Linked DNA regions of Nothobranchius furzeri. The protein of the gene in region 1 purifies or fractionates together with the protein of each later gene. This does not show direct contact. Links are inferred from orthologs where the notes say so. Each region holds a gene or a part of one and is shown in the gene's direction. Other genes may lie near its edges.

Evidence for each region.
Region 2: the proteins of nedd4a (region 1) and laptm4a purify together in Homo sapiens (affinity purification with western blotting; 3 studies listed by BioGRID). This does not show direct contact. The link is inferred for Nothobranchius furzeri from reciprocal best matches to the Homo sapiens genes NEDD4 and LAPTM4A.

The regions. Positions count from the first base shown.
Region 1 is NC_091749.1:60,023,754-60,028,189, forward strand, and holds the start of nedd4a (E3 ubiquitin-protein ligase NEDD4), read left to right. Parts: upstream 1-1,584; 5' UTR 1,585-1,791; coding exon 1,792-3,081; intron 3,082-4,436. UniProt on the Homo sapiens protein: E3 ubiquitin-protein ligase which accepts ubiquitin from an E2 ubiquitin-conjugating enzyme in the form of a thioester and then directly transfers the ubiquitin to targeted substrates. Specifically ubiquitinates 'Lys-63' in target proteins.
Region 2 is NC_091742.1:7,584,801-7,589,330, forward strand, and holds the start of laptm4a (lysosomal-associated transmembrane protein 4A), read left to right. Parts: upstream 1-1,713; 5' UTR 1,714-1,814; coding exon 1,815-1,943; intron 1,944-2,794; coding exon 2,795-2,915; intron 2,916-3,894; coding exon 3,895-3,971; intron 3,972-4,530. UniProt on the Homo sapiens protein: May function in the transport of nucleosides and/or nucleoside derivatives between the cytosol and the lumen of an intracellular membrane-bound compartment.

The DNA.
Region 1 (4,436 bases):
ATTTAAATGAACAAAACCACAGTTTCAGAACAATAAATGAATAGGAAAATTACCAAATATTCAACAAATCACCAAATGTGGTCTACACTATTATTCAGGACAAAAAGGGTAGATTAAACACTTTCAAGGAAAAATATACTAAAAATCTTTACATAGTAGTAATAAGGAAAAGATTTGCTGTAGAACAAAGATCAACACAGATCAAGCAGCTCCTTCAGCCACTCGGAAATGGAACCAAACTGAGAACATTGATGTACAAACTGGACTTTTACAAATTGCCTTCTCACTCTTTTAACCTGTTGTTTATTATTAAATTAGTAGAATTTTCCCCTAAATTGTTCAAAATAGTCTGTACTGTAGAGGATTAAAAACTTGAACTGTTTTAAAAACATTCAAGAACTAAACCATCGATGTAGCATATTCCAGATTAGATGCTGCATACAAACAGTAACTGTTACACAGTGACTGAGAGGTTGGTTAAATACCTAAAAGTAAATAAACACAGCTTAAGAAACTAGTTCATCCACCTGCTGCACCTGCTGATTGATTTTTCCAGTCTTTACTCGAACCACACCTCTCTGACTCAGCTTGTAGTGACTACACAGCAGACTGGTTCTCTGAAAAGTTGATTAAATACCGCCTTTGTTTTTGTTCACTTTGATACCAAACTCATGGAGTTCTTAAGGGACGTGTCTCTGTATTATTGCCGCATGACGTCATTCTATATAAGCATTTGATATTGTATGGCCATTGCATTACTGTCACACGGTTCTGTTGGTTTAAAAAATAGGTTAGGAGTTCCACAGCGTCCTGCAGTGAGTCATGTCCTTATCCCGGCCGTGACTTCCATTATTATACTTTGGAAGCAAAGTAATGCCCTGAAATAGGTCAGGCAGCCTCACTGTTAATAAATTAAACTGTCAACATCTATGGAGAAGTAATAAGAGCAGCATTGACTGTTACATGAGGCATCAGATAACCAGTTTCATGACATTTATTTTTTCTTAAAACCTCACGTTTTTCTCATTAGGCAGCAGCTGTCCTGTTCCCTGCAGGAAATATTTAAAGTCACTGCTAAAACACTAAAAGGAGCTCTTGTGTTATCCTAATGAGCTCTGTGATTTACTGTCTGAAATGTGCTTTTGCAACCTGCTCCTTGGTTTGATGCAGAATTTTGTTGACATTCACTCGTTTGATTTCCTGTAATTCAATAGCAATGGGTAAAACTATTTGTGGGGCACAGAGCAGCAGAAACATTAGTAGCATAGCAGCAGCAGGAGTCCTGAGCGAATGGGCCAACGCAGATGTGACACTTTACCAGAGCTTCAGTCTAAAATGCAGCACGTTGGACTGTCATGCTTTTGTTTGTTTTTCTTTATTTTCAGAAGAAAAATGCTAATTTGTCTGTTTTTTTTTTTGGAGGCACAGTCGAGTTACGCTAGGCTTTTATTAGAATGCAAAGCTGAGGAAAAGGTTTTCCAATTATCTTTAGAGTAGCTTTGTTCTTCTTTATTGGGCCGAGGAATTTTAAAGGGGCTAATGGTTCGGTTTGAAAGGTCATGTGTTTGGGTCATGTCTCCAAACAGAACCACTGGCCTGCTCTGACTAAAAGCTGAGATCAGCCTGGAGAGGAATGTAGCTTGTCACCAGAGCTATTTTGGCAATGCGCAGCTACTAATGATTGTGATCACAGCGCATGGAGCTGTTGCGTTTGCTCTCGTTTTTTTTTTCCACCAGCAAGTTTGATCATGTACGTCTCGCCAGCCCTACAGGGATTAGTGAGTTGAACAAATGTCACATCAGCTCCGTTTGCATTTTGCGTCAAGGAGAAGCAACACGGACCCCCTGTCGGAAAGCCTCAGCAGCCAAGGTGAAGAGAGTGGAGTCAGTCTGTCGGCTCATGGCCCAGCGGAGAATCTGGCGCACAGCTCTGTTCACTTGAAGGTGACTCCTCTGTCACCAGACGTTGCCAGCAGTCAGTGCTCTTCAGTGTTCATACCCAGGGTTCACGCTGGAGGGTGTAATAAGAAGAGCGTTTTGCAAATTGCGCTGCAGCCCTGTGGGAAACTCGGTGGAAAACTGGATTGCAGTTTAGAAGATGGAGAACCAGGGGCTTGTGAAGTTGGAGCAGGTACCGGCTCTGACGGAGGTTCATGCAACAGCAGCATGGCCAGCGATGCGGGGTACTGTAGCAGCAGCAGCATCTTTGAGCCAGAGCTTCCAGAAAAGCACAGGACAATCCAGGAGAGGACTCTGCTTTGTCGCAAGTCCAAGGTCCCGCTGCGACGATGCTCCTCACTGATTATTATTCCGAAGAGCCCATGTAGCACTCCACCTGCTTCCCCAGGATGTGCTGTGACTCCGTTTGCTTACCCACTGCCAAAGGGTACTAATCAGTCACATCTTCAGACGTCTTTCAGTGATTTCTCCCAAGAGAAAGTAGGGGCGAGCTCCACTGTAGCAAGTGGACACCAAACATCAAAACGAAGCTGCTCATCTGAACTTAGGGACATGAAACACATGGTCCACTTTAATATTCCTCTACAGGATGGAACAAAATGCAAATCAGAAGGCAATAGCGCGTTGATGGAGCTTCCGTCAGCCTCAGACAGACCTAATCTTCACTCTAGCAGCGTGCTGCTGCATTTTGCCCACCAGAAACCAACAGTATCTACCAAGGGAGTTGTGGAAATGGTTGCAGCCAACGAAGCTCACCACCAAGTTCACCTATCTCAAAGGGAAAACATCAATCACAGAAAACTGTATCGCAGTACCTCTGCTTGTTTGTTTTCTTCATCCAAGCCATCAGAGAAAAACGATAAAAGCGGTTTGTCTGGAAAAGATCAAATCGGGCTTGGTGAAAAGCATCGTGCCATACAGAGGAGCTTTTCCCTCGAGGTGCCCTACCCTAACACTGGAATTTCATGCCACGTTTCTAACCCCGAGCTCTGCAGCCCTCGCTCCCCACATGTGCACATTCATTTATCCCCATGCTACCCCGGAAGGTTGCGAAGCTCTGTTACAGATGTTAAGAATCACAAAGAAAGTAATGCAGTAAAGGGTTCAGTTCAAAATGACAAGGTGAGTATGACATTTCTAACTCTTTAGAGGCTTTATATTGATCACCTAGTAGCCTTTTGTCAGCACTCTAGACCTGCTGCCACTGTTGTCAAACAAGTTTGAGTAGATTCCACTCCGTCATTGGTTCAGCCTCTCCTGCATCAATGTTCAGACATATCGAGAGTTTCTAATGAGTAGTATAAATAAACACCGCTTGATTAATTGTTTGTTGTAAACTTGCAGCTTTTAACTGATTGGTTGTTTTCATCAATGAAAATTTCTAAGTTCCAGTACACTGGAATAATGTCACCCTAAAGTCTTAAACTGTTTTTGCTTTGACTTTAGCATTAGACTGGTTACAAGACTTCTAGTAACTGAGAAGCCCTTTAACTTTAAGTCATGTATTTAACAAGCTGTGTGTGGACAAACATTCAGAGGTGTTCAGTTACATTACAGTAAATCCATCTGCATATTGGATACCAAGAAATGTGTAAATTAGAAAGACAGGTTCTCCATCTTGTGAATACCAGCATTCATCAGTGTGAAAACACAATTTCAGTAGAGTTTTCCACTTTTATTATTCTGTTAGCACTATAAGTGATCAGGTTAAGTATTTACCATGGCTATTTATAGAGTTGGGAAGCGCAGTGCCCCATGCCGATATAAATAAGGTGCCTCTGAAATATTCCCCCTGACTCCGGATAGTCTGCTGGTCTGTAGCACTGCCCAAAACCTGTGGATTCAAATTTAACAGCATGATACTAGAGTGGTGCACAGTCATGTCGGCTATCTGCGTACATGTGTGTGTGTGTGTGTGTGCTCGTTTCCAAGTAAACGGGTGGCGTGCTACCATCCCTGTGGGTCCCCCCACCAAGCAATGTTTGTGAAATATCAGCTGTCAGTCTCTTCCTGCGTTTAGCAGGTTGTCAAAGAGGGTCCACTTAAGACTTTTTAAATCTGCAAAGGTTTGTTTTCATATCCTTTTACTAGGGCTGAACGATTTTGGAAAACAATCTTAATTGCGATGTTTTCTTCAATACTGCAATTGTGATTGAATTCACGATTATTTTCTCAAGGGGTTTTTCTCATATTTTTCAACTAACGGAAGCAGAAAAAAAATGTAACTTGTACTGAATATAAACAAGTTTATGTATCTACATATGTATCTACATATCATATCAACAAGTTTATTTGTCTACACATCCATAAACACTCACAAGCCAAGACAAAATCTTGTATTCGAAGGTGCAATGCTTTGCAGCCAGGAGCACATCCCTTGAAGTCGCATAGGTATTGGCATCACCTGTGAAAATTTATTTGCAGGGAAGAAATGTGTCCCGTTTATTGAAGTCTTTTGTGCTTATAGTTTTTGACGT
Region 2 (4,530 bases), on another chromosome or scaffold:
AAGTCAAAGAGTCATAATTTAACAACAGTATTTTGGGTTATTTAACCTATCATAAGAGAAAAAATTGGGAGTAAAATTTTCAAAGTCAAATTTCACCATGTTATTCATACATTTATAATTGTTAAAGTTACCATTTAAATAGTTAGTAAGCAAGCAAAAATATTTAACTTAGAGTTAAATATTTGTTTTACAAACAAAATATTTAGGTCAAACCCAGATATTTAGTTTGTAAAATAAATAATTTACTACATATTTAATTTGGAACAAAATATTTAGTTTACAAACAAAATATTTAAATACATTAAATAAATTAAATATTTATTTTCTTTAAAAAATAGATTGCATCTAAATACTTATTTTTGAGCTAAACATTTGTAAAATCTAAATTTGAGGTTAAGCTTGGATCTAAATATTTATTTAGAAAAATAAATATTGAACTTGAAGCTAAATATTTTGTTTGTACACCAAATATTAAGCTCCAAATAAAATATTTAGTGAATAAAATAAATAAATAATTAAGTAAACTAAATATTTAGGTCAGACCTAAATATTTAGTTTGTAAATTGATTAATTAACGCTAAATTAAATATTTAGCTCGCTAACTAAATATTTTCTTGGGATCTTTAATATTTATAAATGTATGAATAACATGGGGAAATTTTTACTTTGAAAAATGAACTCCCATTTTTTATGAGCATGCTAAATAACCCAAAATACTGCTAAGTTACGACTGTTTGACTTTACAAATGGCACCTCATAGATCTAAGGAAGGAAAACAGTGGGGTAATGTATAAAAACATGAAGAAACAGTTAAATTATGCTTCTGTCGTGCAATATATGTGTGCATATATTTTTTGTTATTCTGTAATAATAAAAAATACCTCTGAAACTATTTCATCAGTGATTTTCATTTAAGACTTTATGAAACAAAAAGTGACACGATACATAGAAATGTGGTGTTGTGAACTGTGGAATGTGAAAGTGGAATACGTTTTCATTCTATATTTCACATAATTTCAGCTTATTGACAAAGCAAACTCTAAATTATCAGTTAGAACAAATGCCAAAATAAACATTTTAAACTGAGTCTGAGAAGCTCAATCTGCTTCTAATTTAGGACTTCACCATGTATGACATGATTAAAAGTATAAACTCATCTGTCTCCATGGTTTATGGTAAAACTAATCAAAAGATGCAACTAATGCAAAAAATTTGCTGCATAAACAGGGACAGAAAAGGAGAAGCAAGTTCTATTTTGATTTTTTTTGCATTTTTTCCTTTTCTGATTATAGAATTTAATTTAATTGTAAATAATTTAGCAAGTACAAGCTTGGGGTTGGATGGTGGTGCACTTATTCTGAAGTAGTTGTTTTTTTCAGCTAAAATTACATCTTAAACTAGGTTAGCATAACAGATTAAGCAAAAACATTGTTTTTATGAAACAAGTCTGAATTATTTGTTCTTTTTTATTGGATTGGATTGATGTTTGATCATGAAATTCCTTCATTTCTTTGACATTTATGTTTTTGTGAAGCATTGTCGGTTATTTAAAATTTAAAAAACGCAAACAGATGTTAAAACTGTCAGAACATCTAAGTAAATGCTAATTGTCACTTAAAAAGATGCTGAGTAGTTTTATGCGGTACGTGGTCATTGGCTTAAACTCCCGTCAGTCAAGAAATCAGACTCCGCCTTTTCCGGTTTGTTGAGCGTTTGTTTTCATCCGCGGTGTGCGCAGGTCGTCGGAGTGGGCGTTCCTCTGTGTTCGTTCGCTGACTGTTGATGCTGAGCAGGCTTTTCGGTAATTCGACCAGATGTTTCTCCCTACTCTCGTAGAGGACATGCATCATTTTAAACCAAGTCGGGATAGACTGTACACCACCCGGTGCTGTGGATGTTGCCATGTTCGAACTGGGACCATTATCTTGGGAACATGGTACATGGTGCGTAAGATGGTTCTCGATAACTGTGTGATCGCGTACGCTAGCCTGCGCTGTTCGCTTGTCAAAAATCCGCATAAGTGTTGAGTTACGTAACTAATCTCTTCAGGATATAATTAAAAATTATCTTATATTGGTCTTTACTTGCGTGACTTTACCCAGTGTGTCATTTTGACTCTTAAAATAGCCGTAGCTAGTTGAGGTAATGCTAGCAGGATGCTAATGTTAACGACAACTTGCTAACTCATTAGTTGTCTTTTCCAGTTGAAACGGATATTTTTTTGTTCTTAAAGTCACAAAAAAGACCAAACGTAGTCAGAATTGGGATTTTTTTGTACACAAGTGAGATATGAAGACATTTGACTTAGCCGAGGCTCGGCCAACATGAATGTAACGGGTAAAGGGATTCCGCAGTGTCCCCTTAAAAACACCCTTATTCTAACTCGTTAAGATAATGATTAGTTCCATAATAAAAAATTTTATTTTATAGATGGACACAATTTAAAAACACGAGTATTGACTGAATATATGTTTTACTAAATAGGTCAAATTTGCTGAATATTTTTATGGAAGACACCGACTTAGTTTTATTATGAAAATTTTTACTTTTTTGTTTAATTACCTTCCAAATAGATCAAATCCACAATTATGTACTGTATCTACCAAAAGAAAGAATGTAATATATGTGTTTCTTGTTTTGTTGCTAGTGGCTGTATCCCCCTCCACTGTCTTACTTGTGACACTTGCATTTTTTTTAGAAAGCGCTATAATATAGTTTACAAACACAATAATTGCATTTTTGTTATTGTATTTTGTGTTCACTAAACATTTCCCTACTCTTTCCTGAACTCCAGGTAGTCAACCTGTTGATGGGCATCCTTCTGACTGTGGCCGTGACGCACCCAGAGAATGTTCCTACCATTGACTTGCAGTACGAGGTCATTGACCATTACTTTGCCTCCGACAGGATGTCCGGTGAGTGGAAAAGTCGTCTAAAAACTCCAATAAACAGCGGAATGTATTGAAATGTCCTTGTATTATTATGTCTACGTATCAAGATTGTGTAACATAAATTCTTTGAAATCCTCAACATAATGTACAGATAGTTAGCTCACCAACACAAAGACTAGTGAAAAAACATTTTCTATTTTTGGAATCTGCACATGTTTCCACATAAGTTATTCATTGGCTATTTTGAGGATTTGTTAATCTATTTCCATCAATTGTTGCCCTTTGGTACAATTTGTCTTGTAAAGATAATATGATGAGGCTTAGTGGGTGGCTTTTATCATTGGTTGGCCTTTTTTTAAGCAATGAATTAGCCAGAGAAAAGGAGAAATAACTTCTGAGAGCTGGTTTTCCTATTTCAGGGTTGCACAGCTTGCACAAATAATATTGAGACATTATTTGTCATTAGTCCTTGATGGTAAAACTGTGTTTACTGTAATGGTGTGCTCTGAAAGAGCACAAAACATTTACAAAGACTCCCTTAGACAGTTTAGATGTTTAGATAATTAAAATATTGTCATCAGCTCAAATAGAGAGGCTTATTTTCACTAGACGTTTCATTCCGGTGTGTGTATTATCCAGTCTGACCTGTGGTGTGTCGGCTGCATCGCTGCAGCTCTCCCAGGCATTCCCAACGCAGCAGTTAAAGCGAGAGGATGATTGATAAGGGTAAAAAGGCTATGAAAGGAAGATCATTTAATTGTCCTACACTGAGCTTCATATCGTTACCAGCCCAGCTGAAAGGATTAACGCTCCCTAGAGCTGTCTTTTAATACAAAGTGAGTCTGCCGGCCCGGGAGACTGTCCACTTATCAGTGTTGGCAAATCACAGCTGCCTCCTGCAGCACAAAGACAAAACATTAAAGTAGCTCGCTAAACATTTACAGATGAAGCCGAAGCTGTTCTAAACTAATATTTGCTCATTAGTTTTTAATCTCTTCTACAGAAAATGCTTGTGTTGGATTTGCTATCTCGCTGCTGATGCTTACCATCAGCGCCATGATGGTGTACGGAGCAATCACTGTAAGTTTAAACTCATTTGTACGTTTTCCCTTTATTTTAAGCTACTTTAAATGTTTCATTTGTAAAATGCTAAATTACAAACTAAACAGCTCAGCAATCATGTAATTTAGTAAGAAGAGCGTGATAAAGATGTTTTTTTTAACTCGTGAACGTCATCTGCTTGTTAAAAGGAGTGTTCTTTAGTTGCAGCGTGTTGTGTTCTCATCGTGCACGATGACGCTTGCCTCACAGGCCTGCCTCATGGCGTCAAGACGGACGGGTTTGATAGCTGTTTGATGTTTTAAGCTACTAGTTAGCATGACCGTGCAGTGATAACATGACCGTTACCTGGGAACGCTGCAGAGTTGTACTTGAGCTGTGCAAGGACGTCCTTCCAGACCAAGGTTGCAGACACCCTTCCTTTTTCCACGGTTGTGTGGCAGCTAGTTCTAATAGTTTCAGTAACCTTAGAGATCATTTAGGAGTGTATTTGGCTTGTGTGTGCGCTTTTAGTGGAAGAAAAAACAAAAGAGGAACCGATGTTGTTAAATTTAAACCTTCTCTGTTTGCATGTTTCTAA